Macaca mulatta: one gene and its partners. The protein of the gene in region 3 purifies or fractionates together with the protein of the main gene of each other region. This does not show direct contact. Links are inferred from orthologs where the notes say so. Each region holds a gene or a part of one and is shown on either strand. Other genes may lie near its edges.

Region 1 (2,523 bases), on a different chromosome or scaffold from region 3:
CTTGGGAACGGGTGCTTGTGAGACCCAAGGCAGAAGCCCAGGCTTTCCTCCTCTTCCCCAAAGGCTGAAAGCACAGCTCACCATTGGCAAGGGAGGCCGAACTGTGGCGTCTGCCGAGGGATTACCACCCCCGCCCCACAACTCTTCTGACCCCCAACTTCTCCCTCTCCCAGCCCTTCTTGTTAGCTCAGAAAAAAAGTGGGCCTGCACCTGGGCTCACAGGTCTAGTGGTCTCCTAGGAAGGCCATACCACACCATTGCCCAGACTCATGAAGCTGTGTTGGTGCAACTCTAGGGCGTCTCCTGCTCTCTCCATGAGCTCTGAAGGGCTCCTCCTCTCTGCCCCCCTCCCCCTCCTGCCACCGCAGCAGAAGGCAGGCAGGCAGGGCTGGATAGAGGGTCCCAAAGCCACTGCAGTCACATGAGGTTTGTGGCCTGGTTAGTCCACTAAAACTACAGATTGTTTACCTTCTCCTCATCCGTGGCGGAGACCTGCGCCACATGGGCGGTGGTGGCAACATTCTCCTGGGAGGGCTAAATCTCCTGGGTGGTGGCCTAGGCCAGGGGGCCAGCACGGCAGTGGCAGTGATCTCCTGGCCATCGATTTGTCCTGTTGAAAAAGAAAGCAAGTCATAAAACATCTAACAAGCATCTACCCTAGACAAGGCATGTCACAGTGAACGAGACAAGCCTGGGGGGACAATGACAATGTAAGATAATCACAGAAATAGGGCCAGGCACGGTGGCTCACGCCTGTAATCCCAGCACTTTGGGAGGCTGACGCAAGCAGATCACAAGGTGAGAAGATTGAGACCATCCTGGCTAACATGTTGAAACCTCATCTCTACTAAAAATACAAAAAATCAGCTGGGCGTGGTGGCGGGCACCTACAGTCCCACCTACTTGGGAGGCTGAAGCAGGAGAATGGCGTGAACCCGGGAACCAGAGGCTGCAGTGAGCGGAGATCGTGCCACTGCACTCCAGCCTGGGCAACAAGAGTAAAACTCTGTCTCAAAAAAAAAAAAAAAAAAAAAAAAAAAGATAATCACAGAAATAACATTATGATTAATGTTTCATGAGAAAAAGAAGCATGGACACCAACAGGAGACACCAATGTCCATGTGTCAAGGCAGCCTCGCAGGTCAAGAGTCATCCAAGTCAAGAGCTAAACAATGTGCTGGAGGCCAGGTGCAGAGGCTTATGCCTGTAATTCCAGCGCTTTGGGAGGCTGAGGCAGGTGGATCACGATGTCAGGAGTTTGAGACCAGCCTGGCTAACATGGTGAAACCTCATCTCTACTAAAAATACAAAAAAATTTTTTTTTTTTTTTTTTGAAACAGAGTCTCGCTCTGTCACCCAGGCTGGAGTGCAGTGGCCGGATCTCAGCTCACTGCAAGCTCCGCCTCCCGGGTTCCCGCCATTCTCCTGTCTCAGCCTCCCGAGTAGCTGGGACTACAGGCGCCCGCCACCTCACCCGGCTAGTTTTTTGTATTTTTAGTAGAGACGGGGTTTCACCGTGTTAGCCAGGCTGGTCTCGATCTCCTGACCTCGTGATCCACCCGTCTCGGCCTCCCAAAGTGCTGGGATTACAGGCTTGAGCCACCGTGCCCGGCCAAAAAAAAAAAAAAAAAACAAAAATTAGCTGGGCATGGTGGCATGTGCCTGTGATCGCAGCTACTCAGGAGGCTGAGGCAAAAGAATCTCTTGAACCAGGGAGGTGGAGGTTGCAGTGAGCTGACATCAAGCCACGGCACTCCAGCCTGGGCAACAGACTGAGACTCCATCTCAAGGAAAAAAAAAGAAAAGAAAAGAAAAGAAAAGAAAAAAGAAAAGAATGTGCTGGAATCTGCTAGGTGGAAGAGAAGGGCTCTGCGGGGCCCTGTGCTGGGAAGGAACCAAAGCACTGGTGAGAGAAGGCAACAGAAGGCCCCAGGGTCAGGGTGGGGCTTCCTGGTAGGGCCATGCAGGTAGTATCAGCATTTGCGCTTCCTTCTCCTCCAACCAAGGGAAGCCAGGTCTGGGGCTAAGAGAAGGGCGAGAACTTCTCTTAGGAGGGCTCTGCGGCACTGAGAGGAGCATGAATCAACATCAAATGATTTGGTAGGGAAATGGAAGGATTCAGGGAACAGCTGAGAGATAAAATAGCCAGAGCTTGGTGATGGATGTGATGGAGGTGGTAAGGGACCATCGGGATGAGCTTCCATTGACAGAGAGGTGGGGCTTCGGTGGGGAGCAGCACGAAGGAAGTTTCAGGAGATGCCAAGGACTTTGTGTTTGGAAACAAGCAGTCTCAGAGAGGTGGCTCTGCATGGGGATGGCACTGAAACACATGCCATGTGCATGAAGCGAGGAGAGGCAGTGTGGGATGTGGGCTCCAGGGAGAGAGGAAAGGAAATGCAGGTGCAAACCCAGGAAGGGGAGCATGTGCCCCAACCTCAAGAATTGTCTGGTAGCTGGGGATATCAGAAGCCCAAGCACAACCCCTTTTGTGCCCTAAGGGGTAAAGGGCTCTTTTGTTTTCTC
Region 2 (3,654 bases), on a different chromosome or scaffold from region 3:
TTGGGCCAAGTGGAGAAGAATCCGAAGTTCCAAGGTATTAAAAATAATAATAAAAGTTATACTCGGGCCCAGCAGGGTGGTGCATACCTGTAATCCCAGCACTTTGGGAGGCTAAGGCAGGTGGATCACTTGAGGCAAGGAGTTTGAGACCAGCCTGGCCAACATGGCAAAACCCCATCTCTACTGAAAATACACAGATTAGCTGGGCGTGGTGGCACGTGCCTGTAGTCCCAGCTACTCAGGTGGCTGAGGCAGGAGAATCGCTTGAACCCGGGAGGCGAAGGTTGTAGTGAGCCAAGATTGCACTGCTGCACTCCAGCCTGGGCAATAGAAGGTTATACTGGGAGTACCTGAGTTGAAGGCAGAGGTTTTTCATTGTAGTGTGCATTTGCTCTGCTGTACATGTTGTATTGTTAAGAGAATCTAGTCACTCTCCAAAGAACCAAAAACGGGTAGCATTACAGCCTGCATCTTCCTTCTTCCTTTAAAAAAAAAAAAATTATTTCGCCAGACGCGGTGGCTCACGCCTGTAATCCCAGCATGTTGGGAGGCTGAGGCAGGCAGATCACAAGGTCAGGAGATCGAGACCATCCTGGCTAACATGGTGAAACCCCATCTCTACTAAAAATACAAAAAATTAGCCAGACGTGGTGGGGGGCACCTGTAGTTCCAGCTACTCGGGAGGCTGAGGCAGGAGAACAGTGTGAACCTGGGAGGCGGAGCTTGCAGTGAGCTGAGATTGATTATGCAATTGCACTCCAGCCTGGGCGACAGAGCAAGACTCTGTCTCAAAAAAAAAAAAAAAGAAAAATTATTTCATTGATTGGCTTCTATACATGTTTTCTTGGAAATATAAGGGTGCTAATCAAAATGATCATTTTTTCAAAGAATACATAGCTGACATATTTTGGCGGTAAGAAATATGTACAAAGCTGGGCACAGTGTAGTGCGCCTGTAGTCCTAGCTTCTCTAGAGGCTGAGAAAGGATCATTGGAGCCCAACAGGTTGAGTCCAGCCTGGATAACATAGTGAGGTCCCATCTCAAAAAATATGAAAGGAAAAGAAATGGATGTGACCTGATCGAAGTCATTTTGAAAATTAATTAAAAGAGTTAGCATAGGGCTCAAGGCAGGGGTTGAAAAGCAGCTTGGAACTTGATCCAAGCTTTTCAAGTCCTCGTTGTCCCATTAGAGTTTTCAGATTTTTCTCTTAGCTTGTAAGATACTGAGTTGATTGTCTCCCAGGCTGGAAGGACTCTCCTGGCCATTAAGTGTGTAATCTAGTTGTTCCACTTGGATTTGGGGCCAATAATGAGGTTTTCCTGCCCTCACCTGGGATTGGCCCAGCTGTCTTTTTTGTTTATTGAGTGGAAAGGAGAGGCCCTACGTAAGGGCCTTCCTGCGTTTTCTGCTGGTGCCTTCGGGCATCCACAGTGCTGGGACCACCAGCTCACCATGCTGAGATGTGACGTGTCTGTGTCCTGCTCAGACCTATGCCAGGTTCAGGGCAGGATCCTGAGTTCATAAACTAATGCTTACCGCCTGGGCAGCTGGCAGTCATCTTGTCACCATGCTTCCTTCCTTCAACTGATTCACATGCAGTCTTTTTTTAAAAAAAAGGTGAAAAGATGTGGTCCTGGGCTGACTGTCCCACTCTTGGTTTGTTAAAGACAGTGCTAGGAGAGGTGCCCCCTCACCCAGGCAGGTGAGTCTTCCCTTAAGGGTTCCTTCCCAACACTGTGTGGTCATTGAAAGAAAAAGAAGGTAGGTTGATGCAGTGCAGTTGCCCCAGCATTGGCTCCTGGGGGCGGGAGTGGGGAGGGCAGTCACAGATCCACAGGCATCAGTGATTGGGCTTCTGAACACCTTTTGGGATAGCAAGATCCATTCAGAATAGAAGCAGCTATGAGAAAAACCAGAAATGGGATTTAGCTTATTCTTTTTTTCGCTTTTAAAACATACTCTTTGATCAGCAGAGCAGTAGCAGTTGCCATATTTATATATTGTTACCAGCTTAAACTCATGTTCTTGAGGGTTTTTTTGTGAGCAAGGGAAATGGGAACAAATGGCCTTCCCTACATACTGGCATGCTGAGGGACAGCCAGTGGCCACCCAGGAAGCCAGTGCTCCGTGACATCTACAAAAGGGTCTGCAAGGCCATCTGCGTCCTCTGGCCCTGGGGACAAAGAGGGTCTGTTTTGTTTCCAGGTTTTCCTTTGGTTGAATCAGAAGTGAATGAGATGATGATGAAAATAGATGATGAGATGCTGAAAATAGTCCTCGGTTACTAAAACATGAAGGTCTTTGCCTAAAGGACGCAGCAGTGTCTGCTATACAGAGGCCAAGGCTATTATAGTGGTTGAGGCAGGTGCTGGAGTCAGATGGGCTTGGTTGAGTCCTGGGTTGAACTCTCGTTCTACCGTTTATAGAGTGCATACTGTGCTTTGCCAGGCCTGCACACAGGTGCGGCTGAATCACTGACGTTTGGTTTTGCTTCCTGCAAAATGAACAGAATACATAGCTCTTATATCTTTCCTTAGAAGAAATGTAAAAATACTTCTGAAACTTCTTTGAATGTGGAAGAAAGAAAAAAATTAGTATTGAGCACTTTTGGGAGGCGATTTTGTTTGATTCAGATCTTCATAAAGTGGCGGTCTCTTCTGTAAGGAGAAAAAGCTGTTGACTTGGGGGCCAGTCTCTGAAGTGCTTAGCATGTCGTCTGTTGTATCCTAGGCATTTGAGCTGGCAACGGGAGATTATTTGTTTGAACCACATTCTGGGGAAGACTATTCCAGAGACGAAGGTGAGTATTAGTGCCTGCTGAATACCTCATTCTAGGTCTCCTGCCAGCCCTGAACTTCTGTAGAGTACTGTATTTTTGTACTGAAATAGAGCCATGTTTTTGGTTTTCAAACACCAAATTCAGATGCTTTTCCTTTGAGTTTGACGCCCCCTCAGTCTCAGTGAATGGGCAGAGCCTGCCTGGTACAGGCAGCACTCCAGTGAGCCCTCAGGGGCCTACACCAGCGGCTCTTCCTGGCCTTGCACAGGGCAGGAACCCAGCTGTCTGAGAGAGGACAGATGATACAGACCTGAAACCTCTCTGTGGTCCTTTCGACCATTGATGTGCTGCCCATTTCTCTGTCCTGTTTGGGAGCTGAGTTGAAAACCCAGGAATTCTGGCTTGAATTCCATCTGTAAACCTGACCATCTCCATGCTTATTTGCTTGCGATGCTGGGGTAGCCTGGGGTGAGCTGGCCTCAGTCACTGTTACTGCTCCTGGTGGTGCCTGAGGCCTGTCATTCCTACAAGCCTCTGCATGGATGTGCTGCAGACACTGTTGATTTGAATCTATTTCTGATTTTTTACTAATTTCAATTTTTCCCTCTTCTTTTATCCCATCCTTCCCTTTGCCCCTCCCATTCCCATATCCTTTTTTCTCTCCTCCATAGACCACATAGCCCACATCATAGAGCTGCTAGGCAGTATTCCAAGGCACTTTGCTCTATCTGGAAAATATTCTCGGGAATTCTTCAATCGCAGAGGTAGTACCTCTTCTTTTTGAAAAGCGCCACGATGCAGACAGAAACTGAAGAGCAGCTGCTGATTTTAGCATTAATGGTGACAAAGGCATTTCTCCTAAATTCAAAACGC
Region 3 (3,654 bases):
GCGATCTCGGCTCACTGCAAGCTCCGCCTCCTGGGTTCACGCCATTCTCCTGCCTCAGTCTCCTGAGTAGCTAGGACTACAGGCGCCCGCCACCGCGCCCGGCTAATTTTTTTTTTTGTATTTTTAGTAGAGACGGGGTTTCACTGTGGTCTCGATCTCCTGACCTTGTGATCCGCCCGCCTCGGCCTCCCAAAGTGCTGGGATTACAGGCTTGAGCCACCGCGCCCGGCCAGCTGTTTTTTTTTTAAATAAAAGCAGATTAAGACCTTTTTACAGAAGGATAACAGTAATAATATTCATCTCTTTTTACTTTGTATCCTCGCCCCTTAAACACCTTTTAGGTTTGCCCTTGTTGGTGTTGGATCTGAAGCGTCTTCAAAAAAGTTAATGGATCTGTTGCCTAAAAGAGAACTTCATGGTCAGAATCCTGTTGTAACTCCATGCAATAAACAGTTCCTGAGTCAATTTGAAATGCAGTCCAGGAAAAGTAAGCAGTCCTCAGAGGCTTTTATTAAAATATGTACATTTTAACCAGTGCATTTGTTAGGCGTTTTATACTAGAGAAGTCATCTTAATACTTGCTCACTAGAAACTCCATTTCACAAAGTCCATGCTTTGAATTAGATTTAATCACTGGTTATGACTGTGGGCCTGTGTACTAGAAACCTACTCTTGTTCCATTTTTCTCCAGATATAACAGACCCAATACTACACAACAATGTGCAAGTTCTGTAGCCCTGCCATTCTTGTCCTGTTATTTCCATCTTAGATACAGAAGGAAACTACATTCTAATTCTTAGATTAAAGGAAAACTATGTGAATATGTATTATGGTGGGGGAGAGATCACTGATAACCAGAAAGTGTTCATTGATTTTTCTGCCTGGCAACAAGACCTTTCACCACTTGGTAAACTGAATATAGAAAAGATTTGTCATTACACATTTAAGGATGTTATCATATAAAGAGATAAGATGGATGATTATGTAATTAACAGAAATTCAAGTGGTTCCTTTTCTTTTAATGTTTTAGCACTTAAGACTTAAGAAGAAGTATGTTACAAAATTTAAATGATGTAATACTGAAATTAAGATATCTATTGAAGAATTTCGGTCTTGGCTGCTGCAGAGTGCTGGTATTTTGAAAGTAACTCATGATTACTTATGGAAAATATATTTAAACCTGAAAAATTTGAGTCTTTAAAAGTACCCATATAGATGTGAATGTTTTTCCTAACCCATACTTCCTTATGTAGTTTGCATAGGCACAAGGCATTTGCAAGTTAATATGTTAGAAATAGAGTTGTTTTTAATAATAATGGTTGCATTTCAGAATACTATTTTTAATAGTTGCTATTTATGAGTATTTGGATATTTGCAGCTACACAATCAGGACAAATGTCTGGGGAAGGTAAAGCTGGTCCTCCAGGAGGCAGTTCCCGTGCAGCATTTCCACAAGGTGGTAGAGGACGGGGCCGTTTTCCAGGGGCTGTTCCTGGTGGGGACAGATTTCCTGGGCCAGCAGGACCAGGAGGGCCACCCCCACCTTTTCCAGGTAAAACTTTTCTTAAATTACCATGTATAAAACATGTCTACCTAATACCTCTTTTCCTTTTCTCTCTTTTTCAAGTAATGCATTATTAATGTGACTTACTCTCCTTGTTATGCTATTTTTGGAATCCAGGAAATTTGATCAAGCATCTTGTTAAAGGAACTCGGCCTTTGTTCCTGGAAACTAGGATTCCATGGCATATGGGGCACAGCATAGAGGAAATACCCATTTTTGGCCTAAAAGGTCTTTATTTTTCTCCAAACTTGCTTGACTTATATATAGAATATTTACATCCGTCTTATTTTCTTACCTCTTAAAAAATCCTTTCAAGATCATTTTTCCTTGTTTCACTTTCTAGCTTGGCATCAGAGTAGAATATAAGGTGGGTGATTTCACTGTAAGAAGTGTGTGTACACTGAAAGATGGAAAATATCTCTAGGCATTGTAATCTTTTTTATTAAAGTTTTTGTTTCAGTAAGTTTTCTTAAGCATAAATGGAGCTAGTTAAGTTTGTAAGGATATACTTCATTGTAGTTGGTAGTGTAATATTTACCATATGGGTTTTATTTAAAGACAAAGACTTGGTGTATGCTTTATGCTTTTAAAGTATAATCTTGGCATATGAAAGAAAATATCTTATTAGTGAAGTGGTTTTTTTTTCTCTTTCTCCTTTGTTTTTTAGCTGGACAGACTCCACCACGTCCACCCTTAGGTCCTCCAGGCCCACCTGGTCCACCAGGTCCTCCACCTCCTGGTCAGGTTCTGCCTCCTCCTCTAGCTGGGCCTCCTAATCGAGGAGATCGCCCTCCACCACCAGTTCTTTTTCCTGGACAACCTTTTGGGCAGCCTCCATTGGGTCCACTTCCTCCTGGTCCTCCACCTCCAGTTCCAGGCTACGGCCCCCCTCCTGGCCCACCACCTCCACAACAGGGACCACCTCCACCTCCAGGCCCCTTTCCACCTCGTCCACCCGGTCCACTTGGGCCACCCCTTACACTAGCTCCTCCTCCGCATCTTCCTGGACCACCTCCAGGTGCCCCACCACCAGCTCCGCATGTGAACCCAGCTTTCTTTCCTCCACCAACTAACAGCGGCATGCCTACATCAGATAGCCGAGGTCCACCACCAACAGACCCATATGGTCGACCTCCACCATATGATAGGGGTGACTATGGCCCCCCTGGAAGGTAGGTTAGTGTGTATCTGTGCAAGTACTTGATGATAAAAGATAGGAACAATGACTGTAAATAATTAGATTGTAGCTATATAAATATGTTATTTCTGCCTTCCAAGAAGATGAGGTGTTTAAGCTGCTACCCTGTTTTAGCTGAAAGATACTGGTATAGGAGAATTTTTAGACATTCTCTTTGTAGCAAAAGTAGCATGCTTCAATATGGAAAAGTAACTACTATTGCTAAAGCACATGTCAGAAGCAGCTAGTGTGAATTGCTATACACTATTGTGACTAACTTAGGAAATCTGTTGAGTATGAGTTAAGGTTTGTGTTTTTATTTTACAGGGAAATGGATACTGCAAGAACGCCATTGAGTGAAGCTGAATTTGAAGAAATCATGAATAGAAATAGGGCAATCTCAAGCAGTGCTATTTCGAGAGCTGTATCTGATGCCAGTGCTGGTTTGTATATTTCTTGTATTAATATTTCTTATTTATGTTATTAGGAATGACCTAAAAATGTAAGTACAATCTAGAAGATAGGTCATTTACATGTTCTTTTTGTATTCCGAAATCATTACCTGTGATTTATTTAAAAAGCATTGATAAAAGCTCTGTGTCACAGTGTAGTGGGGAAAATCCAAATTTTAACTTATTTGGTATAGATGTAAGTCTTACCCTTGACATTTAAAGGTTCCGGGGCCTTATGACAGCTTATTTATTCTTATATTTGCAAAGTGATAATGTGCTTTACACACCTGTAATAATAAGTTGAGTTAGTATCATCACCATGAAAGTCTTTTGCAAATGGTGAAACAGTAAAAGAAGACATTGCCTTGCATAGTTATTTTATAGCACAGTACTTTTGTAAAATGCCTTATCACTCTTATCTCAAGTGGTTTGATGGTATTTTGAAAACAAAATTTGTTTGA

The links.
Region 1: the proteins of CPSF6 (region 3) and RNPS1 purify together in Homo sapiens (co-immunoprecipitation; 3 studies listed by BioGRID and IntAct, with this or other methods). This does not show direct contact. The link is inferred for Macaca mulatta from reciprocal best matches to the Homo sapiens genes CPSF6 and RNPS1.
Region 2: the proteins of CPSF6 (region 3) and SRPK2 purify together in Homo sapiens (affinity purification with mass spectrometry; 3 studies listed by BioGRID and IntAct, with this or other methods). This does not show direct contact. The link is inferred for Macaca mulatta from reciprocal best matches to the Homo sapiens genes CPSF6 and SRPK2.

Annotation. Positions count from the first base shown.
Region 1 is NC_133425.1:3,492,187-3,494,709, forward strand, and holds part of RNPS1 (RNA-binding protein with serine-rich domain 1), read right to left. Parts: intron 611-2,523; coding exon 469-610; coding exon of another isoform or gene 465-468; exon of another isoform or gene 364-464; intron 1-363. UniProt on the Homo sapiens protein: Part of pre- and post-splicing multiprotein mRNP complexes. Auxiliary component of the splicing-dependent multiprotein exon junction complex (EJC) deposited at splice junction on mRNAs.
Region 2 is NC_133408.1:144,711,894-144,715,547, reverse strand, and holds part of SRPK2 (SRSF protein kinase 2), read left to right. Parts: intron 1-2,732; coding exon 2,733-2,802; intron 2,803-3,452; coding exon 3,453-3,545; intron 3,546-3,654. UniProt on the Homo sapiens protein: Serine/arginine-rich protein-specific kinase which specifically phosphorylates its substrates at serine residues located in regions rich in arginine/serine dipeptides, known as RS domains and is involved in the phosphorylation of SR splicing factors and the regulation of splicing.
Region 3 is NC_133416.1:76,375,477-76,379,130, forward strand, and holds part of CPSF6 (cleavage and polyadenylation specificity factor subunit 6), read left to right. Parts: intron 1-341; coding exon 342-487; intron 488-1,378; coding exon 1,379-1,552; intron 1,553-1,681; coding exon 1,682-1,792; intron 1,793-2,231; coding exon 2,232-2,736; intron 2,737-3,068; coding exon 3,069-3,184; intron 3,185-3,654. UniProt on the Homo sapiens protein: Component of the cleavage factor Im (CFIm) complex that functions as an activator of the pre-mRNA 3'-end cleavage and polyadenylation processing required for the maturation of pre-mRNA into functional mRNAs.